3 linked regions of the Stegostoma tigrinum genome follow. The protein of the gene in region 2 binds, or shares a complex with, the protein of the main gene of each other region. Links are inferred from orthologs where the notes say so. Each region holds a gene or a part of one and is shown on either strand. Other genes may lie near its edges.

Evidence for each region.
Region 1: the proteins of vegfc (region 2) and flt4 are in contact, whole or in part, in a crystal structure (PDB 4BSK), measured with the Homo sapiens proteins. The link is inferred for Stegostoma tigrinum from reciprocal best matches to the Homo sapiens genes VEGFC and FLT4. Residues at the interface, in NP_005420.1 of Homo sapiens: Leu119, Asp123, Trp126, Gln130, Asn167, Arg210; in NP_891555.2 of Homo sapiens: Gln172, His199, Asp200, Ala201, Leu202, Tyr203.
Region 3: the proteins of vegfc (region 2) and kdr are in contact, whole or in part, in a crystal structure (PDB 2X1W), measured with the Homo sapiens proteins. The link is inferred for Stegostoma tigrinum from reciprocal best matches to the Homo sapiens genes VEGFC and KDR. Residues at the interface, in NP_005420.1 of Homo sapiens: Thr148, Asn149, Phe151, Lys153, Phe186, Ile188, Val190, Pro191, Leu192, Gln194, Pro196; in NP_002244.1 of Homo sapiens: Val135, Tyr137, Ile215, Val216, Val217, Val218, Asn253, Val254, Gly255, Ile256, Asp257, Phe258, Asn274, Arg275, Asp276, Phe288, Leu289, Ser310, Ser311, Gly312.

What each region holds. Positions count from the first base shown.
Region 1 is NC_081366.1:12,011,620-12,019,325, reverse strand, and holds the start of flt4 (vascular endothelial growth factor receptor 3), read left to right. Parts: upstream 1-4,699; 5' UTR 4,700-4,879; coding exon 4,880-4,937; intron 4,938-7,706. UniProt on the Homo sapiens protein: Tyrosine-protein kinase that acts as a cell-surface receptor for VEGFC and VEGFD, and plays an essential role in adult lymphangiogenesis and in the development of the vascular network and the cardiovascular system during embryonic development.
Region 2 is NC_081356.1:120,836,979-120,844,581, forward strand, and holds the start of vegfc (vascular endothelial growth factor C), read left to right. Parts: upstream 1-4,602; 5' UTR 4,603-5,359; coding exon 5,360-5,479; intron 5,480-7,603. UniProt on the Homo sapiens protein: Growth factor active in angiogenesis, and endothelial cell growth, stimulating their proliferation and migration and also has effects on the permeability of blood vessels.
Region 3 is NC_081354.1:108,373,750-108,381,752, reverse strand, and holds the start of kdr (vascular endothelial growth factor receptor 2), read left to right. Parts: upstream 1-4,996; 5' UTR 4,997-5,322; coding exon 5,323-5,386; intron 5,387-8,003. UniProt on the Homo sapiens protein: Tyrosine-protein kinase that acts as a cell-surface receptor for VEGFA, VEGFC and VEGFD. Plays an essential role in the regulation of angiogenesis, vascular development, vascular permeability, and embryonic hematopoiesis.

The DNA of each region.
Region 1 (7,706 bases), on a different chromosome or scaffold from region 2:
GAGGAGGAGGAGTGGCATGTTTGATTAGGGATAACATTCCGGCTGTACTTAGGGAGGATATTCCTGGGAATACATCCAGGGAAGTTACTTGGTTAGAACTGAGAAATAAGAAAGGGATGATCACCTTGTTAGGATTGTACTACAGACCCTCCCAGTGGTCAGCAGGAAATTGAGAAGCAATTTTGTAAAAGTTTTTGTAAGGGCGGCATGGTGGTTCAGTGATTAAAACTGCTACCTCACAATGCCAGACCTGAGTTTGATGCCACCCTCAGGTGACTGTCTGTGTGGAGTTTGCATATTCTCCCCGTTTCTGCATGGGATTCTGCTGGGTGCTTTGGTTTCCTCCCACAGTCCAAACATGTGCAGGTTAGGTGGATTGGCCATGCTGAATTGCCCATCATGTCCAGGGGTGTGTAAGTTATGTGGATTAGCTATGGGAAATGTAGAGTTACAGTGAAAATGTAGAGGGGATGGGTCTGGGTTGAATGCTCTTCGGAGGGGTGATGTGGATTTGTTGGGCCAAATGGCCTGCTTCCACATTGTAGGAATTCTAGGATGTCAAGATCTCAGTTATCTGAAAGAATAATAGAGTGGATATGGTGGGGGATTTTAACTTTCCAAAGATAGGCTGGGACTGCTATTGTGTTAAGAGCTTAGATGGAGAGGAATTTGTTCATTGTGTACAAGAAAATTTTCTGATTCAGTATATGGATGTACCTACCAGAGAAGGTGCAAAACTTGACCCACTCTTGGGAAATAAGGCAAGGCAGGTAACTGAGGTGTCAGTGGGGGAGCACTTTGGGTTAGTGACCATAATTCTATTAGTTTTAAAATAGTGATGGAAAAGGGTAGACCAGATCTGAAAGTTCAAGTTCTATATCAGTAGAGGGCCAATTTTGATAGTAAGAGGCAAGAACTTTCAAAAGTTGATGGGGGGGGTGGTGTGGATGTTTGCAGATAATGAGAATGGCTGGAAAATGGGAAGCCTTCAAAAATAAGTTAACGAGAGTCCAGAAACAGTATGTTCCTGTTAGGGTGAAGGGCAAGACTGGTAGGTGCGGTGAATGCTGGGTGAGAAATTGAGGTTTTGGACAAGAATAAGAAGGAAGCATATGTCATGTATAAATAGCAGAGATCAAGTGAATCCTGAGAAGAATATAAAAGCAGTAGGAATATACTTAGGAGGGAAGTCAAGAGGGCAGCAAGGGGACATGTTAGCTTTGGCAAATAGGGTTAAGCAGAATCCAAACCACAAATATATTAGGGACAAAAGGGTAACTAGGACAGAATAGGGCAACTTAAAAATCAGCAAGCCCACTTATTTGTGGAACCATAGGAGATGGGGGAGACACCAAACAAGTATTTTGCATCAGTGTTTGCTCTGGAGAAGGATATGGAAGACAGAGAACATGGGGAAATAAATAGCAACATCTTGAAAAATATCCAAAATACAGAGGAGGAGGAGCTTGATGTCTTAAAATGCATAAGAGTGGATAAATCTCCAGGACCTGATCAGGTCTACCCGAGAACTCTGTGTGAAGCTAGGGAACTGACAGCTAGGTGCCTCAGATATGTGTATCATCAATAGCCTCAGGTGAGGCAGCAGAAGACTGAATGTTGGCTGAACGGTGACCTTATAGAAATTTACAAAATCATGAGGGGCATGGTTCAGGAAAATAGACAAGGTCTTTTCTCTGGGGTGAGGGAGTCCAAAACTAAACAGCATAGGTTTAAGATGAGAGGGAAAGATTCAAAAGGGACCTAAGGGACAACATTAAAATGCAGAGGGTGGTACACGCTGGGAATGAGCTCCCAGAGGAAGTGGTGGAGGCTGGTACAATTGCAACATTTAAAAGACACCTGGATGATACATGAATAGGAAGAGTTTAGAGGGATATTGGCCTAATGCTGGCAAGTGGGACAAGATTTATATAAGATATCTGGTTGGCATGGACAGGGGTCTGTTTCCATCCTGTATGTCTCTCTGACTCTATAACTGTCCACTTGTTGTGATATGGTCTTCCAGTGCACTTTCAACTCTCAAACTTTAATGAGAGAGACTTCAAACCAAGACAGGTCAAAGGATAACAAAGTGTGGAGCTGGATGAACACAGCAGGCCAAGCAGCATCTCAGGAGCACAAAAGCTGAGAGAGCCCTCTGATGAAGGGTCTAGGCCTGAAACGTCAGCTTTTGTGCTCCTGAGATGCTGCTTGGCCTGCTGTGTTCATCCAGCTTCACGCTTTGTTATCTTGGATTCTCCAGCATCTGCAGTTCCTCTTATCACAGGTCAAAGGATATTGCTTTTGAGGAATGTTATCTCCGACCGTGTTCAATTTTAATATCTTTCCCTGCCACAGTCTGGGTCATGTGAATTCAATCTGAACGTCTTTCTTGTAAAAGCTCTAATCTGTGACTACCTCCCCATATGTGCTACGCATGTTGTCCTTTGCTGCATGGATGTACAGCAGTGACCCAAGATACTGCTAGAATTCCAAAAGCGGGACCTCAAGCATGTGCAGCTGAAGACACTTTCTGGGATCATCTGGGAAGCATGGTATGTCCCTGACTTCACACATACTGCAGGATCTCCAATCTGCCTGTCCCATCTGACTTAGAACATAGAACAATACAGCGCAGAACAGGCCCTTCAGCCCTCAATGTTGTGCCGAGTTGCCATCCCATAACTCTGAAAACCTCTGTTATCGTTAGAATCAGTACTAGCCTCTGAAAACATAAGAAGCTATTGTTCAGGAAAAGAAGGGTAAAACACTCAGGATTTAAACTAAATAACCAACTTTCACTTTAAAGATGAGAAAAACTAAAAATCAGCTGCTTTCCCGGCTTCAGGATGTCACACTGCTGTTGGTTTAAGTACACATAAGCCCCTTGATCTCCACCTTATTTCCTTTCTCGGTCATCCCTTTCTCTGAAGACTTTATTCCTTACAGTAAACCTTAATTCAAACACGTCTCCTTCCCCTCTTTCCCGCATCCCCCCCACTCCGGTCTGCCCTGAATTCCAACTTGTACCCAAATTCCCAGATACTCACTTCTGTCTCTGTCTCGCTCAGGTGAAATCTCCTTCATGCTAACCTTGCAGCTTCTTCTGACCAAGTGACCATGCCCGGTCAATTATATTATAAATTAATATTTTGAATAACATATTTCCATTACAATGCATATCATTAGTTTTAATATTTCTACTACTACTTATTGGTGAAGTGGGGATAACAGGCAGGAGATAAGGTCCAGGATGTTTCGTTATAATTCAATCCCTATTTTAAAGTCATAAATTCACTTTTTAGTATATAATTGATTTTATATTATTTACATTAAAAATATTAGCAACTAATGAAGTAGACAAGAACTGGTACACTTAATTGTAGAGAGCTGGGGAGTATTACTGAACAAAGGGACCTTGGGGTGTAGGTTGACAATTCCTTGAAGTTAGAGTCGCAGGTAGACAAGATGGGCAGAGAAGGTTTTTCTGTACACTAGTCTTTGTTGGTCAGTGCACTGAGTGTAGGAATTGGTATGTTACATTATAGCTGTACCGGACACTGGTTAGGCCACTTTTGGAATACTGCACTCAACTCCGATCTCCCGATTACAGCAAAGACGTTGTTAAACTTGAAAGAATGCAGAAAAGATTTACAAGGGTGTTGCCAGGGTTGGAGAGTTTGAGCTACAGGGAAAGGCTGAATAGGCTGGGGCTTTTTTCCCTGGAATGTTGAAGGCTGATGGGTGATCTTATAGAGGTTTATAAAACCATGAGTGGCATGGATAGAGTAAATAGACAAGGTTTTTTCCCTGGGGTGGGAGAGTCCAAAACTAGAGGGGCATAGGTTTAAGATGAGAGGGGAAGAATTAAAAATGGACCTAAGGGGCAACTTTTCCACGCAGAGGATGATGCATGTATGGAAAGAGCTGCCAGAGGAAGTGGTGGAGGCTGGTACAATTACAACATTTCAAAGGCATCTGGATAGGTACACGAATAGGAAGGGTTAAGAGGGATATGGGCCAAATGCTCGAAAATGGGACGAGATTAGGATATCTTGTCAGCATGCACGATTCGGACTGAGGGTCTGTTTCCCTGTTGTATGCCTCTGTGACTCCAGCCAGTGAACTTTGGGGTCTGAAGATAAAGATCAACAATATCAGGGTTACAGCGCCATCAGTGGTGGAAGGCCATAATTACAGCATGACAGGTTTACATAGGAAATATTTAGTCTAAATTTAAACCTAAGGAGTTTAAGGGGAAAATAGCCTGGAAGTACAAGAAGAACTCGGTTTATGCAGGCTGGTGTATTTAAATTTAAATTCTTCGTTGTTAGGGATATATTATAACAAATAATTAGAATCCTACCCGAATCTGGTTAAATACTGTTTTGTCTTAATGCGGTCTCAAATATAAAGGGATTTTAAAGATGAATACGTTTGCGATTTGTGAATCGTACTCGATAGGTGAAGGCGCTAGACGTCTGGAAATTTTCACCAAAAAAACTGTGCAGAAGTTCAACTCTTGTTGGAGATCAGGGAATCTGGAGAATCTGTTCAGATTAAAACGAGGGAGGGGAGGAAGGGAGAGAGAAAAATACTTTTGTTTTCCTGCGGGTTGGTGGAAGTGGCGAAAGGGTTGCAAAGAGGAAACGTATCTCACTTGATGTTAATCGTTGCACACATTTCCTTCAAACAATTTCCTTGTGGTTTCCACGGCTGCTCGTCCCCGGAGCTGCTCGGAACTAAATCTCAGCTTGTACCTGACCCACGGGCTCTGAGTTACACGTGTGTCTGCGAGAGAGAGGCAGAGAAGAGGAATTTAATATTTTTCATTTCTTTGATCGGAGACTTCAAACACTCCAGGATTGGACATCTAGAAATGAAGAAAGCTTTTACCTTTTCTGTCTGGATTTGGTTTGTAGCCGTGTGTAAATCAGGTAGGAGTCAGTGTTTGCTGAAGGTTCGAGCTGCGGATTGTTTGAGTGTTGTTGAGGCAGGCGAACTGTGGAGATGTTTGAAATGAAGTTGCACCTCCGAGTTGGATTGTAAATTGCTCTTTTTTTGTGTGTGGGAAACCTCTGTAGATTTGGACTTTGAAAAGTTGTGGCTGTCCTTCTGAGTAATACCTGAAGGCTGATAGGGGAGTGTTCACAAACTCAGAATTTACGAAATGCTGCAAGGATCAGTGTGGAGCCTCTTGTGTTTAGCGTTTAGCTGCGCTGTAGCAGGTAGGACGGAATCTATGTTGTAGCTTGCTCTTGGGGATGTTTTATTGTAGATTTCCCCATTTGCAAAGAAACCTTCTTCGTCTTGAGACACGTTATTTTGTTGCATTGATTTGTTCCGTCATATAAAAGAGACCGGGGTAACTCGCAGCTGATGACACGGGACAGAATAGACCTGGGGGTTTGTGCCCAAGAAAACCGTGTGAAACCGAAAAGAGATTGGGACTGATTGAGAGCAAGCTTCAGCTTTGTATCAACTCCAGTCTGCTCCCTGTCCTGAAAAGTCTGCTAGCAGGGGAACTTGAGCTAAGCGTTCATTTTTCAGTATGTTTTGTCCTCTCGTGTTTGAAGTTCTTTCCATATTTGACTGCAGTTTACTGATGGGAAAGCTCAGGAACTCCTAGCTCGCAGGTAAACTGTTCCAACATTGAAGATGGGCTTTGCTCCCGTCTGCACATAACCCCGGGTCACCAGCAATTACAGGGTCTTAAACAGTCACCATCTTCCGTAAATTATCTCCAAAGACTGTCATTTAAATTGTATGAAAACAATATTTCAATCACCACTATCGGGTTATATTGAGTTGGAGTGAATTGACGATTTTTGCTTTCCAAGTCGACACGGTGTGAGTGTAATGAGCTAAGGATACTGGGAACTCCATGTGAATTGGACGAAGTTTTCAAGATATTGATGAACCAGATATGCTGGGGATTGGAAATGAAACTGGATTGAAATTCCAATTCCACATCACTAGGCAATGAATACACCATCGTACTTCTCTGATCTCCCCCTCCTTGTCCACCCCCTCCTCCCTAAACCACTTTCCTCTCCCCAGCCCCCTGGCCTCTCCAGTAAAGGTTCAGACCATCAAACTCTTATTGAGTGTTCCTTGGAAAGAGTGAGAAGGTTGAGCCATTTGAAGTTGGGATCATTCTGTTCCAGCTGAGCTCAGATTACCTGCTTTCTGTATTAGCCTGGAGCTTGCTTTGTTCTGAATTAAAACTGTGGGATTAGTATAGTCACACGGTGAGGACTCTCTTCCCATTGCGCTCCAGATATCTGCATCTCTTCCCTTTGATTTTGAGCATACTATATTATTTCAATAATTCCCAGGATGTGGGTGTCACTGGCTGGGCCCAGCATTTATTGCCTGTCCCTAGCTGCCCTTGAGAAGGTGGGGGTGAGCTGCCTTCTCAAACCGCTGCAGTGCATGTGCTGTGGGCTTACCCACAATGTCTTTAGGGAGAGAATTCCAGAATCTTGACCCAGGAACATTGAAGGAACAGTGACGTATTAGGAGAGTGAGTGGCTTGGAAGGGAACTTGCAAGTGGTGATGTTCCGATATATCTATATACAAAGATATGAACATACCAAACTTGAGTAGAAGTGGACCATTCAGCCCCTCTGATCTGCTCTGCCATCCAAATAGATCATGGCTAATTGGTTTACATTTCAGATTCCATGTTCAGATTTCTCTCCTGGGAACCCTGGGCTGTCCTGCATAACAAAAATCTGACTTTAAAATGACCCTGCATCCACCACCTTCTGAGGCAGGGAGGTTCAAAGTGAAGAGTCACTGACCCAAAACGTTGAGTCTGCTTTCTTCCCACAGATGCTGCCTGACCTGCGGAGTTTCTCCAGCAATTTCTGTTTTTGTCTTTTGCAGCGATGCACTGGGCTGCCTATTTTTGGGAATAGCAATATTTCTGGAGACAGCTCATTCTGTCAATTGTTTAACAGTCCACCACCATTCAGGACTGGATGTGGCAGGACAGCAGATATATGATCTGAACCTTTGGTTGTGGAAACACTTAGTCTTGTCTGTCACCTGTGAAGGAAAAATGACAGAGTTAACGTTTCGAGTCCAGTGACCTGAAACATTAACTCTGTTTTCTCCTCCACAGATGCCCGACCTGCTGAGCTTTTCAAGCAACTTTGTTTTAGTTCCTGATTTACAGCGTCCGCAGTTCTTTTGGCTTTTATTTAGTCTTGCCTATCAGTTGCTCTTCTCCTATTTAGCGTGCAAGTGCTGCTGTATTGACTGCCCATTTTTAAATAAACCTGGTGACGCTCCTGGTATGACCTCTTGCACCAATTCACTGAACCAGGGTTGATCTCCTGCCCTGATGGAAATGGTGGAAGTGGGTAGACAGTTGCAGATTATGGTTGAGTAGAATTCTGCTGCTGTTAATGGCCTGGAGTACCTCATGGATGGCCAGCACTGAGTTGCTAGATCTGTTCTAAATTCATCCCATTTAACACAGCATGTTCCAATGCAATCATCAGAACTCCCCCCGCAATTTCTCAAATGCTATCAAACATTCGCATTAGAATCACAGGTGGGCCACTCAGGCCTGCTCCACCATTCAAAAGGATCTTGTTTTGACCTCAGAGATAGGAGGAACTGCAGATGCTGGACAATCTGAGATAACAAGGTGTAGAGTTGGATGAATGGAACAGACTAAGCAGCGTCAGAGGAG
Region 2 (7,603 bases):
AGGATGGAGAGAAAAGAAGATAGGTGGAGAGACTGTAGGTGGGGAGGTAGGGAGGGGATAGGTCAGTCCAGGGAAGACGGACAGGTCAAGGTGGGATGAGGTTAGTAGGTAGATGGGGGTGCGGCTTGGGGTGGGAGGAAGGGATGGGTGAGAGGAAGAACAGGTTAGGGAGGCGGAGACAGGTTGGACTGGTTTTGGGATGCAGTGGGTGGAGTGGGAGAGCTGGGCTGGTTGTGTGGTGCAGTGGGGGGAGGGGACGAACTGGGCTGGTTTAGGGATGCAGTTGGGGAAGGGGAGATTTTGAAACTGGTGAAGTCCACATTGATACCATTAGGCTGCAGGGTTCCCAGGTGGAATATGAGTTGCTGTTCCTGCAACCTTTGGGTGGCATCATTGTGGCAGTGCAGGAGGCCCATAATGGACATGTCATCTAAAGAATGGGAAGGGGAGTGGAAATGGTTTGCGACTGGGAGGTGCAGTAGTTTGTTGCGAACTGAGCGGAGGTGTTCTGCAAAGCGGTCTCCAAGCCTCCGCTTGGTTTCCCCAATGTAGACGAAGCCACACCGGGTACAGTGGATGCAGTATACCATATTGGCAGATGTGCAGGTGAACCTCTGCTTAATGTGGAATGTCATCTTGGGGCCTGGGATAGGGATGAGGGGGGAGGTGTGGGGACAAGTGTAGCATTTCCTGCGGTTGCAGGGGAAGGTGCCGGGTGTGGTGGGGTTGGAGGGCAGTGTGGAGCGAACAAGGGAGTCACGGAGAGAGTGGTCTCTCCGGAAAGCAGACAGGGGTGGGGATGTAAAAATGTCTTGGGTGGTGGGGTCGGATTGTAGATGGCGGAAGTGTCGGAGGATGATGCGTTGTATCCGGAGGTTGGTGGGGTGGTGTGTGAGAACGAGGGGGATCCTCTTTGGGCAGTTGTGGCGGGTGCGGGGTGTGAGGGACGTGTTGCGAGAAATACGGGAGACGTGGTCGAGGGCGTTCTCGATCACTGTGGGGGGAAAGTTGAGGTCCTTGATGAATTTGGACATCTGGGATGTGTGGGAGTGTAATGTCTTGTCGTGGGAGCAGATGCGGCGGAGGCGGAGGAATTGGGAATAGGGGATGAAATTTTTGCAGGAGGGTGGGTGGGAGGAGGTGTATTCTGGGTAGCTGTGGGAGTCGGTGGGCTTGAAATGGACATCAGTTACAAGCTGGTTGCCTGAGATGGAGACTGAGAGATCCAGGAAGGTGAGGGATGTGCTGGAGATGGCCCAGGTGAACTGAAGGTTGGGGTGGAAGGTGTTTGTGAAGTGGATGAACTGTTCGAGCTCCTCTGGGGATACTGGGGATATTGGTTGATACTGAACTCATTTTGCATTGCTGGAAACAGCCTGTAGACACAGAGACCTCAATAAATCACTGCCCAGGACAAAAGTTTGACAAATTGCTCCAGGGTGTGGTCCAAGGACAAAGTTGCAAGATTTGCCTCATTATCCCTATATTAATTCAATGAGTATTGGTAGAGTAGAACACCCGATAATAAGTAATAAAATTATGAAAAATTAATCTAAGGCATCTAAGACATTTAATGAATATTTTCCTAATGAACAAACACAGAAATGCATTAATGAAACATAATAATCAGACATATTCAGATTATTTTCACTTTCTAGAGTAACAACTGAAATATACTAAAGAGGTGCATCCATTTTACAGATTTCAGGCTAATCCCAATTCAATTCACAGATATCTTTTTTCTGCACCAGATGATTCCAAAACCTGCAACAATCAGCCACATATTCAGACATAAAAACAGAAAATGTTGGTGAAACTCAGCAGGACTGGCAACAAGTGGGGCAGAGAAACAGAGTTAACATTTTGAGTCTGAAATGATTTCTTCAGAATTGAAAGTGGTTAGAAAATGATGGCTTTTATGCTGTTAACAAAGGAATGTAACAGATTACAACTGATGGCGAGGCAACAAAAGTCAAAGTCATTGCTAAACGTGTAGTAGAGGGCTATAGGTGCTGAATAGGTGTTAATGGCAGGTGTGGACTTCAGAATGTAGGTCAACTCCTCTGAGTCAAGCCATGCAAACATGTGTGTGTGTGTGTCGGGGTGGTGATGGGGGGAGTATTGGGGGGGGGGGGGTGGTTAATCAAAATAGAGCCGAGTTTTCATGATCAGACATTGTTGCTCCTCAGCAGAAAATCAGATGTTGTTCTTGTAGGTTTCTTTGGGTTAGTTAGATTCTGTGACAGGCCAAGGACAGAAATGTTAGCATCTGAAAATGATGCTATCTTGAAATAGCTAGCAACTAGATGTGGGTCATTCCTCTGGACAGATTAAAATATTCCCCAAAGAAATCTGCATCTGGCCTTGCCAAAGAAAAGGGGATAGCATTGTGAGCAGCAATAGAATAGATTAGATCAAATAAAATTCAAGTGAAATGCTACCTCACCTGGAAGATATGTATGGGGGCTTGAATGGTGAGGAGGTGAATGGACAGGTGTTACAACTTCTGTGATAGGAGGGGATGATGTCATGGAAGGGTGAAGAGGTGCTAGGAGTGATGGAGGAGTGGACCAGAGTGTAACAGAGGGAATGGTCTCTGTGGGATGCTGACAGGGGAGGAGCAGAGAAAGCAGAAGACGAACCTTTAAAGGCAGAAGCTGGTGGGGTGGAAAGTGATGACAATCAGAACCTTATCATTGTTCTGTAAGGGACATCTTCATCAAGGGGATTATATTACCAAAAAGGCATCAGGCATTCCTTTAGTTAATTTGTGGAATGTGACTGTTGCTGGCTGGGCCAGCATTTATTGCCCGTACCTAATTGCCCTTGAGAAGGAGATGGTGAGCTGCCTTTTTGAACTCCTGCAGTCCACCTGCTGTGGGGTCGCCCACAATGCCATTAGTGAGGGAAATCCAAGATTTTAACCCAGCAATAGGGAAGGAGTAGTAATATATTTCCAAGTCAGGATGGTGAGTGTCTTGGAGGGGAACTTGAAAGTGATGTGGTGAAAAAACAGAAAATGCTGGTGAAACTCAGCAGGACTGGCAACAAGTGGGGCAGAGAAACATTTAACATTTTGAGTCTGAAATGATTTCTTCAGAATTGAAAGTGGTTAGAAAATGATGGCTTTTATGCTGTTAACAAAGGAATGTAACAGGTTGCAACTGATGGCGAGGCAACAAAAGTCAAAGTCATTGCTAAATGTGTAGTAGAGGGCTATAGGTGATGAATAGGTGTTAATGGCAGGTGCAGACTTCAGAATGTAGGTCAACTCCTCTGCGTCGAGCCATGCAAACATGTGTGTGTGTGTGTGTGTGTGTGTGTGTGTCAGGGTGGTGGTGGGGGGAGTATTGAGGGGGTTAATCAAAATAGAGCCGAGTTTTCATGATCAGACATTGTTTACATCTATCTGCTGCCCTTGTCCTTCTAGGTGGAAGTGGCCGTGAGTTTGGAAGGTGCTGTCTGAGGATCTTTGGTGAATTTCTGCAGAGCATCTTATATGCACTGTTGCTACTGAGCGTTGTTGGTGGAGGGAGTGGATGTTTATGGATGCAGTGCTAATTAAGGGGGTTGCTTTATCCTGGATGGTGACAAGCTTCTTGAGTGTGGTTGGGGCTGCACTCATCCAGGCAAGTTGGGGGGTATTCCATCACACTCCTGACTTGTGCCCTGTAGATGGTGGACAGGCTTTGTGGTATCAGGAGGTGTGTTACTAGCCATCGTATTTGGCAGTAAGTCATTCATTGCCTGTCATTTTTTTAATTGAAATGTTTGTGATTTCAACAACTAGCCACAATTAAAAAAAAAGAAAATCAAAAGTTGGTTTTATCGAAAGTGCCCAGTGAAGTTTTCCAACTATTGTAACAACCTAGCTGATGTCCTTCAGAGATGTAAAGCTGCCAGGTTATCCAGGTATTGTCCTATGTGCCTTCAGTCTTACTGGTGCAATGAACTTCCCTGCTTTCTCAAGAGCCCCATGGATCACAGTCAGCTTGTCGGACGGGGGGGGGTTGGACAATAAATCTCGTTCTCTTCCAGCAATACCCATATCCAAACTAATCATTTAGTAAAAAGAATGGCTCAATTAGCTTACTCTTACTAACTGTTTGTAATGGTATTTTCTCGCCCTGTGTTGCAAGCTGGAGGATGGGCCTGCAAGCTGTTGCTTCCCCACTTCACTGACGGCGTCCTTCACTGTCAGAGATACCCTCCCCAGTCCAAATATTGAATCGAAGTCCACTCCTTCAAACAGTCGTAAAGCATCCCAGAACACAATCGAGGGAAGGGCAGTTACATCATGCAACTACTGAGCGCTGACCTGATCTTTATTTCATTGTTTCTGCTGGGATCTTGCTGTGCACAAATGACATCAACCCCCACCCTCTCATCACCGAACACCGTTGCCCTCTTTCCACATTGCAGCACTTCCAGGAAGTCTCCGGTGCCTGTGAAAAAGCATTTTGTCTGCGGGGGGTGGAAGGGCACTATACAAATGCAGGTCCTCCATGTTATTGAAAGAAACCTGTTTCGGACAGAGCTGGACACCGGACCCGCCTCCCTCCCCGGGAGGGGGACATTGCCAGCGTATTTAACACTGGAGACCTGTGAAAGGGGGAGAAAAGGCTCCGAAAGCGGCCAGCCTGCATACAGTACGCGGCTAATGTAGCCACAGCGAAAGCTGGAGAGAGAGACAGCTGTCAGACTGGAAGGAGATACAAGGCAGAGCCTGGCTTGTACATTTTATATTATTTTTGTAGCCACGTGGGGATTGTCAGACCCGTTTCCTGGTTGTGTAGAGCTTAAAATGTGCACGTGTCTCACCCCTCACCACCCCCTCTCTCTGGTGTTCCTTGCCAAACTCCTTATATAAATAGTGCAGGCAAGGGATCACATCGAAACTCGGTCTGTGTGGGGAGAGAAGCTGCACTGAAAGCTTTGAGGGGAACTCGGAGCTGTCTGCATATTAAACATGCCATACCTCCCTCCTTGGCTGTCTCTCATCCACCAGCCAGAAGGATTCTTTCACCGGATCGTCAGAGTGAAAGCTCCGCTTATTCAGACAACACGTGGATAAACTTTACTTCCCCTCCTTTACAAAAGAAGTGTCACTTATTCCGCTGAAGTTAACGATCCAGAAAGCGCCACCGTCCAACAGAATATCACGTTTCGTGCCATTTTAAATCCTTTGAGTCCCTCTTTTTGTTGTTGTTTAATATCACCGCCCCGCACATCCCCATTCTCCCGCCCTCTCCTTTCCCTTCCACCTTGATCCCTAAAGGAAAAGGCAAAAGATCCGAGGATTATTTTTTTTTAATATTGCACCGGCCGCCTTCGCTTTCTGTTGTATCCCGGCACAAAGATGCTGCTGGTTTCAGAGATCGCTCTCTTTCTGATTTACACGGCCTTGCTGCAAAGGGACTCCGCTTATGAATCTAGCCAAGACTATTACGATGACTATCAGGAGCTGGGAGAACCGAAGGTAAGGGAGGTATTTTTTTTAAATCATAGAAGTGTACTCTCCTACCCCCTCGGCTGTCTTAGTCTGTTGTTGCTGTCTGGCTACTGTACCACTGTTCAACGAGGAATCACCTTCACTTTCTCACTGGCGCTACAGGAATTTATTACTAGGACCTGGACGGCACAAGCGGCAGCGAATCTGTGGGCGAGAAGGGTGCAGATTGCCGAGCTTTTTCTAACATCTGTGGATTTTTGATACATGTAATGCAATCTCCAGTCATAATCTGACACTTATGCAACTTTTTAACATAGATGTAACTTTTATTGTACTTTGTAACTTTGTAATAACAAAAGTTTTCCAATATACTTTTTATGCGCATTTCAGTAAAATCGAACGTTTGTGTAACTATATATTCTGCACCATTAATACATATTTTGCATTTTTTAATACATCACGTGAATTTTCAATGCATGTAAATAATTTTAATGCATATTTTCCGAGCCATATACACTTTCGGCACACTACTTTGGATTACATTCCGTATACATATTTATATGAAATAGTTGGCATTTGTAGTATCTGGGAATTTGTCTCCCTCTGAGGTAAGGACACAACAGAGTGGTGAACTGCTCACAGGAGATAGGGTCCCTGGAAGATTTGCTCTGGGTGTTAACTGAACTCTGGCGGAGTTTCGCTGCGACCTTCCACCAGCTCCTTGTAGGTCAGGAACACCTACCTCCCCGCACAGACGGGCCAAAGGTTTCAGTTTAGAAGAGAGGGGGAAAAAAAATCCCAGTCTGCTAACAGACGGGGGCGTGGATCCTATGGCTCTCTACATTAGAATGAAGCTCGCTGAGAAATTTAGGAAGTGGCATATTCAAAATGCACGGAGAACCTCTCTCTCCTTCATTTCGACTGAATTAACATGGTATGCCCGTCAACTTTCTCTCACAAAGTCCCAGGTTTGCCACAAGATAGACTTTCAAGAGTGGGAGATACAAATTTGAGGCACGGGGATTTATAAATCAAAGGCTCCTTCTTTAGACTTTGAGAAACATTTTGTTAAAACGAGAAAGCAGTAATTGTGTGTGTGTGTGTCGGTGGGTCAGAAGCAGTAAGGAAAAACGGGTTGAGAAATGTAACACAACGAGGAACCCAGCCTCTCTCCAGCGATTTGTAGAAACGAATTCCACCCACTGATGTTCTGAAGAGAGAGAGAGTAACAGGGATAATCTTGTGAGTTGGAGACAGTCCGTGGAAATTTGACAATTCCTGTTGAAGGTGTATAGGTGTCAATAATTTAAAATGATAGAGGAGGAGGGAGTGTGGACTGGCTATATGAAGAACAGATTCATAGAAGATGATGGTAACTGATACGGATAAGGGGTGCAGGAGGGAGGGAGAAGGAACAGAACTGGACACAAGTTAAGAAAGAGAATCTGCATTAATACATAAAGAAAGCAAGAATGAATACAGCGAGAGAACGGTTGCACTGACAGGGCTTCACAGGAAGAGAGGGAGGGGGAGGGCAAAATAAAAGGAAAGGACAAGAGGAGGGAAATCATATATACAAATTCAGCAGCCAGCATTTAAGAGTGAGAATAGCGCCCAGATGCACACAAAGACAAATGGAGATCCCGCACAGGGAATTCTCACGCCTAGGCGGATCTCTTTTCCTCACTCAATAAAAACTGAAACAATTGTGGATGCTGTACATCAGGAACAAAAACAGAAGTTGCTGGAAAAGCTCAGTAGGTCTGGCAGCAATTCTTCACATGCTGCCAGACCTGCTGAGCTTTTCCAGCAACTTCTGTTTTTGTTCTCTTTTCCTCACTGTCTCACACAAATGCACAATGCAGAATCTGAGACACACGCTCAGGTATAGAAAGTCAGTGACCAACAAATACATTTCAGTGACATACGTAGAGACAAGCAATTAAAAAGTGGCAGAGAGAGAAAAAAAACAGAAAATAATGCAAAGGTTGAAGTGCCCACTCAAAGGTAGAGATGCATACAGCACTACCAGACTTGTCAAATTCGCTTAAGTATAAGGCTTTTTTGTAAATTGGTGGGGGACTTTCATTGGCAAGAGAATGTTGTTATCTGGGATGGTACACTTTCACATGAAGGAAGTGATCCCTTTCT
Region 3 (8,003 bases), on a different chromosome or scaffold from region 2:
TAAAATATTTTCTTAAAAAACTGCAGATGGTGGGGATCTGAAACCCTTCAGTTTTGATTGTCTAGCAAATGATATTGTCAACAAAATGAATCGCCTTAAACATCTCTGCACTGGACCTCATCTGCCACTATCCAGGCCATTTTACCAGCTTTCTGAGATAACAAAGCATGGAGCTGGATGACACAGCAGGCCAAGCAGCATCTTAGAAGCACAAAAGCTGACGTTTCATCAAAAAAGGGGGATGGAGAGAGGATTCTGAAATAAATAGGGAGAGAGGGGGAGGCAGACCGAAGATGGATAGAGGAGAAGATAGGTGGAGAGGAGAGCATAGGTGGGGATGTAGGGAGGAGATAGGTCAGTCCGGGGAGGACGGACAGGTCAAGGGGGCGAGATGAGATTAGTAGGTAGGAAATCCCCGTCTCCCTAACCTGTTCTTCCTCTCGCCTATCCCTTCCTCCCACCTCAAGCCGCACCTCCATTTCCTACCTACTAACCTCATCCTGCCCCCTTGACCTGTCCATCCTCCCCAGACTGACCTATCCCCTCCCTACCTCCTCACCAATGCTTTCCTCTCCGCCTATCTTCTCCTCTACCTATCTTCAGTCGGCCTCCCCCTCTCTCCCTATTTATTTCAGAATCCTCTCCCCACCCGGTCCTTGGATAAACATATGGATGATAATGGAATAATGTAGGTTAGATGGGCTTCAGTTTGGTTTCACAACGTCCAAGGCCGAAGGGCCAGGGGTCTAGACCCAAAACGCCAGCTTTTGTGCTCCGAAGATGCTGCTTGGCCTGCTGTGTTCATCCAGCTCCACACTTTGTTATCTCGGATTCTCCAGCATCTGCAGTTCCCATTATCTCCTACCAGCTTTCCTACCCTCCTTGTGAAGATTAACACAAAGTTTGATTCTGGGGAAACTGTAGTTTAACCAGTTGCAAACAATAGAGCGTGTGTCGCGCTGGAATTTGCACCGGCATTTCCAGAGCCACGTTATACATAATTTTCCAAATATTTAAAATGACCAGGCAGAAAATCGCATGGAGTCTGTCGGAGCGGGTACTGCTCACAATCAGGGGAATTAACTCCTGGACTATATTCGGCATGCAACTCTTCCAATACTGCCATCACAGTTTTCACGTGACCTAAAAGTTTGTTTTTTCATGTTGATAAGAGCCAGGCAAGAAGGAATGGAGCACACAAACGATATGCGCCGCGCCTCGTGCTTATCTAACAGAGAACCAGAAATTCAACAAGTTCTTTACTCAACTGGAAATCGTGACAGAAACTGGTCGGGCGTGACTGCGGGGGATCATCTGCAAGACGAACAAAACATTCGTTCGAACAGGAAGTCTCTCCCATTGTGGAAAAAAAAGCACTTAAGTGAAGGCAGCTTTTTCCGATGTGTTATAATAGCTTGCTTGATTTAATGTGAAACAGTTGGGTCTTGTGTAAACCTCGGCGGAACATATGACCCTAAGACAGTCATAGAGTCAATCTCCTCCTGTTCGTTCTAAAGATTGCTGTTCTTGACAAATAAAGTCATAATATATAGTCAGCAGCGCAGCAGCTTATGATTGAAAAACAAATCTGTGAGGGAGTCTGTGGGATTGTTTTCTGTGGTTTTCCACACTTGGAGAGTTGATAGATTTATAAAAATTGGGCAAATCATGTAAACTATTTACATCACTAAGACACATGATGGAAACTAAACAGCGTGTGTACCGTTTGTAGTGTGTTTGGAATTGTGTTGCCTTGAATGACTAGCTTCTGGGAACTCGATAAGGACGGAGTGGGTCTTAATTAGGGTCATATTTTAGTGTTTGACCACATCAACTTGGAGCAGCTTCCGTTTGAGTGTTAGAGAGAGATAAGCAAAGTCCAGTTCTTGCCTCAATCCAGCCACCTCTGCACTTGCAAGCTGACGAGTAAAGTTTATTGCCTGAAGGTCTTGAAAATTCAAATAAAACTCCGCTGCCACGATCATCCCACCCTTTGCACACTCATGAGGAGCGTGCAAACTGCTCAACCGAAAGAATAGCATGGCCTCTCTGATGAAGGATCTAGGGCCGAAACGTCAGCTTTTGTGCTCCTGAGATGCTGCTTGGCCTGCTGTGTTCATCCAGCTTCACACTTTATTATCTCGGGTTCCGGGCCTATCCGCTGCTGACCTCTGAGCTAGCTGCTCGCACTCTGACCATCCCAATGTAACTAGGAAGGAGTAGCAAGAACTGCAGGTGCTGGAGTCAGAGACAACTCCGCGCTGTATTGTCTGTAACTAGGTTTGAATTCACTGTAAACGCAAAATATTGCGGAAGCTGGAAGCCAAAACACGAATAGAAATTTCTTCATATACTCAGCGAGGCCGGGCAACATCTAGAAAAGGGGAAACTATTTACATTCCAGGTCGCGAAATTCTGGGCTAAAGCTCATCGGCCTGAAAGTTTAACCCTGAATGGCGATAACAATTGAAAACTTTTACTTTCTTCGGAAGTTGTATGCAGCTTCTTTTAATTGTTCTGTAGATCTCCGCTTTTCTTCTTGATTTTCTTTCCCCTCCTGAATTTGGTGACTCATGCCGGTGATAAATTCCTGCATCATTCTGTGTACAACTGAAGGCGGTGACTACCCTCTCATTGACATAAACACGACAACTCTAGTCTGACTGTCTCAGAAGCGGCATACTGTACTCCTGTTAGCTTCACATTGTTCTGTATAGAGATACAACAGCAATCCCTCCTGTCGATTTGAATGGAACATATGCTCTTCTTCAAAGTCTCAAAGCAGCCTCGATATTAGGAATTCTTACACAGTATAGAGTGTAGTTCTTGATATCCCACGTGCACTATAGGCAAACAACTGACTTGCGAATGTAAGGTAACAGATTTGTTTGCTACCACGGGTGTTGAATGAGGTTTGAGTCATCTGTTTGCATTGCCGTGCAAAGCAGAAATGTATTTGTACAAAACAGTACATGTATAAAACAATCCTGCATCCAGACAGGTTGTGTATACCAAGGAGAACAAACTCAGCGTTTCCTCTCACTAGCATGACTCAGATCGAGAGCCTGGTGCTGTAGGGACTTGCAGGTGTCAGCCACATCTCTAGCCGAGACTGCTGTGGCAGCTCGAATGATTGCTCTTTTTCTAATCAGGTTTTTGTGTCCACTGCTCGTCAATGCAATGAGGGGGTGCTGTGAGGTGTGTAGATAGCGGTAAAGTTGAAGACATCCTGCTAAAACACCGGAAATCAATACTGACATGGGCATCGCGCTACTTCTGCACTTCTCCAACATTGCAGCCTTTCCCAGCCACACATCTCCTTTCTCTGTTTGTCTCACAAACTACAGCTCATGAGACCCAGTCACTGCCCACTCTGCCAAATGACCGATAGTTTTGTTCTATGAGGTGCATCTGAAATGATATCCTTGCTCTGCTCTCTGTAGATTTATTGCAGTCATCGCGTTTGACTCACGGGTCAGAGGATCGGGAGCAAAGACACGATCTTAAGAGTGTCCTTGCTGGCAAACGCACAATTATAATGAATTGTAGCGGGCGTAGATGCAATAATTCATAAAGGAAGGGCAGCAGGAAAGTGAACTCACCAACATGACAACGTTTTTGTAAAGTATGATGGGAAAGCAAGGCTGAGTCACGGGCATGTATAAATCTTTTCGCATTTAAAGTAAAACATTGCTATTGTTTGGAATTAAATTTAAAAAAAGCTGCTGTCTGGAGATAACTGACGTATTGAAAATAAATTACGTGAAGTCGAATCTCATGTATTTTATGCTCCTGATATTCAAGTGTCTCTGGAAAAGGTAGTACTTCGAATTGATGCAGCTAAATCCAAGATTTCGTAATTCATTAGCAGATGTAGCATGTGATCTGCAATACAGAAAATAGGCCTAAGGCCTACCCAGCCTGCACCTGTCAATAGCACTCACTGAATTATTCTAATCTCATTTTCCAGCACTGGGCCCGTTGTCTTGAAAGCCTTGGCATCACTTCGGCACATCTAAATACCTCGAGAAAAGTTCAGAGCTAACTCTACGCTCAAATTCAAACAACTTCCACCCCAGCACTGCCGTTGTCAAAACAAAATCTCGAAAGAACTGCAGATGCTAGAAATGAGAAACACAAAGAGCAATTGTTGGATACACTCAGCAGATCTGGCAGCATCTCTGAAGAGAAAGTAGTTTCAGGTCCAGTGACCCTTCTTCAGAACTGCTTATACGTTCAATTAGAAAAGTAAATGACTGGGCAGTAAATGGTTATTTTTTGTGCCAAGAAGTGCTAAATACTATTTAACCATCTCACTGTTCGACTCCCGACGAAAAGAGGAGGCAATGGCCTAGTGGTGTTATCACTGGACTGTTAACCCGGAGACCCAGCTGATGTCTTGAGGATCTTCTTTCGAATCCCGCCAGGGCAGCTGATGCAATTTGAATTCACTAAATACCTGGAAATGAAGAATCCAATGATGACTATGAATCCGTTGCCTATTGTCGGGGGAAAACCCATTTGGTTCACTAACGCCCTTTCGTGAAGGAAATTGCTGGCCTACCTGTGGCTCCAGACCCACAGCAATGTGGTTGATTCTTAACTGCCCTCTGGGCAATAAAATGCTGCCTGCCCGGCGACATCCTTATTCCGTGAATGAATAAAAGAAAAACTGTAAACGCCATTTAGAGACGACAACAAATATACACATAGGCTCAGCTGCATATTTCACGTTGCCCTTCCTGGCTTTGCAAAATTTAATGGAATCCATAAAATTTATTTTCGCTTCCAAACACTATTAATGAGGCGTGGTGGTATATGCTTGCGACATGTAGAAAATTATAGGTTCGTGTTGTAGAATTGTTCTAATCAATTTTTTTCAACAATATGTGCTAACATGTTTTCACCCGCAAGGAACTGCAATTTTGTGATAACTTTCCCGGTTGTTCGGGATGTTTAAGGATCAACAGCGCCGTCACGTCACGTGACGAATGGATCAACTTTCATGGTTCGGCACCTCCTCCCGTATATAATCCACAAATTGCCATGTCCACTTGACACACATTGAACTGACCTCAAAATTACAGCAGCTTCCTTTTCAGGGCGGACTAAATCAGAGGAAAAGCTCCTGGATTATCACGAGTGGCTTTTGCAGAATTCCTATTAACCCTCAGTCATTGAAAGGTGACTTTAACATGTTCCGCCGTCCGATCGACTGCAAGAACATAAGGCTGTGAGAAGCAGCGAATATTGACAAAGGAAGCAGATTGGCACAGCAACGGGAGACCACGTTCATTGGGATTCCGGCATTCCCACTGTGACATGTGGAAGAAGTGGGTTTTCGCGCTGTTGGTATGGCTGTGGACGGGATTTCCTAATGCAACGGGTGAGAGGGCGTTTTGCAGACTAACCTGGCAAAGTAGTGTGTAGGATTGAATGTCAAGAAATTCAAATTGAAGAATTCAGAGCACAATTCAACTTGAATCGTTGTAGAAAATGCAAGCACTTTATAATGCAAATTTGAGGTAGTTTTCTAATTATAGAAAATATTGTGCAATTATTACGTATTCTATCGGAATTTAACTCCATGTGCTATTACATTTCGTTAGAAACATAACTGAGTCTAAGGCACAGGGAATGCTTTTTTGAGATTATAAAAATGACTATGTGAGGCGTCCACTGTATTCAGAACCAGGGGGTCCGACCTATAACTTGATAAATCTCATTGAACAAAAATAAATGGTACGTTAGCCCTAACAGATAGTAGCCAAGCAGACTCAACCTTCTCGTTGTATGAAGCAGCTTTAGACGTCGAGCTTCAAATCATTTGTAGTGCCCTGGTTAGTTCCAATTAACAGCCCACTGCAGGCTCAGGGTTAGACTTTTCTAATTATCCTGTTACACAGCGCTGGAGCAGGTGGTAATTAAACCCGCGCCTCCTAGCCCAGAGGTAGGGACGCTATCTAGTACAAGAGCCCGAGGGTGAGATTACAAAAAAATTTAAACAACCCATTCAAGAGATGCTATCACTTAGATATATTTTTGCAGTAGGTGGGACTTGAACCCAGGCCTCCTGGTTCAGAGGTAGGGACACTAACTGCACCACTGAAACCCTCGGCTCAGATTCTCAGGATCTAACAAATGACAGGAATCTGGTGTGTCTTTGTGATGGCTTGGGATTCGCTTTGAATTCTCCGTTCGGTGAAATACAAAGATTAGTTAATAGTTGGACAACTGTGAATTTCAGTGCAAACTTTGTAATGATCTGTGATTTACAATGGGTTACTGCCCATTTATATTTCACCGAGTGTCCTCTTCTGCTGACTGTACTGTCATGCAGTATTGAAGCCGAAAGCTTGTGGATAAAATTGAACGGCAGTTCGGCAGTTCATTTATGTTAAAAGTAAATACTCTGGCTGCTGGTTCAGTTTGTGGTATGGACTTTTATAGGTGGTCCATTGTGAAATGAGTTATCCCAAGAACATAACCTGGTGAAAACTGGGCGGAATAGTACTGTGAACTGAAATCAGTCAGGGGGAACGCCGCTTCCCTTAGGAGCTCAGCTTTTACACCGCTCAGGAAGCTGCTGGGAAGTGGAGATGGGCCCAGCGGCCGGGGGAAGTGCGATGGAGATTTCTGGGAGGTAAAAAGGAACGACAGGTGACCGAAGGCATATCTTTTACTGGTACGCAGCCCCATCGGCTTTCGAAACAAATGGTGGAACTCGCTGTCAAGTTCAACTTCTCTCCCAGGATATTCTTCACAATCTGGGTAGCAGCATTACGGACTGAAGTCACGTTTCATGGTGGCCATTCTCTCCGAGATCCCTATAAATGTTGGAGAGGAACGTTCGTAGGAAAAACAAACCGAAACTTTATCGGTATAAAGAGGGGTTAGATAGATATATTAAAAAAAAGAAATAAGTCGAGGATTTGAGGGCAATGACAATCTGACACGAAAGTGGAGTTGACAACTGGGACAGACATTTTATATAATGGAGGGGACAGGCTTGAGGGACTGAATGGCCGACTCCTGCTCCTATTTGTTCTGTCATCTGGAGTATAATGGGGTCCCGATCGCACTCCTACCTAAACACAAGTCGCTCTTGCTGGGAGCAAACCCACTGCTCATACTACGTATGATATCCAACCATTAAAGCCCGGACCCTTGAGTAATACCACTCCCAGTTTTACGAACCGTTCAAATATATCTCGATTTTATGTGCCTGGATCCAGCATCTCTCGCTTGAAATCATAATTCATGCACCTAATTTGGCCTGTGAAAGGAAAGGAACGAAAACAAAATAATTTGATTTAAAACTGCCATTTTTCATAATGTATTCCTAGAAAAGGAAATTGAAAAGTGACCTGGGGCGGTTACCGCGATTCATTTTTACAAGGTTTTAATGTCAGTGCAGTTCCCTGGTAGCTAATTAAAGGTAAATGGTGGGTAAATGGTGCTAGAGGGTTGGGGGGAAGGGTGGAAGGAGGCAAGGTGGATAGGATTACTGAAGTCTGCTATCAACACGGATTGTTTCCCTGAAGTAGCTCATGACAGACGGGCAGGAGACGTGGGAGCAGTTGCTGTTCAGAGGAAATCTGTTGGGCAATAAGTGCAAGTCCCCTCTGACAGACTTTCTAACGAGGCGAATCTCTGTATACTTTAAATTGAACTTAGATCAGCATTTGGACCCAGCAGACCTGCACACTCCTCCCGCAGCCTTATTAGATGGACTGACAGCATACAGCATACCTGTACAGCAGGATAAAAATAAATACCATTCACATTTCGGGGTGTCACTGTCAGCGATTGTCGTAACAACCGTGATCTGGTTGCTGGATAGAAGGAAATCTTCATTTAAAAAACGCAGTCTTTTATATAACGTACCATTTTGCCATTAAATGAACCATACACAATTTTGTGTTTGAAAGGCTTTGTAAAGGTCCGTTATTATTTACCTTTTTTTATTTTTGTCGATGTTGCCATGTGAAGAAATTTGTTCA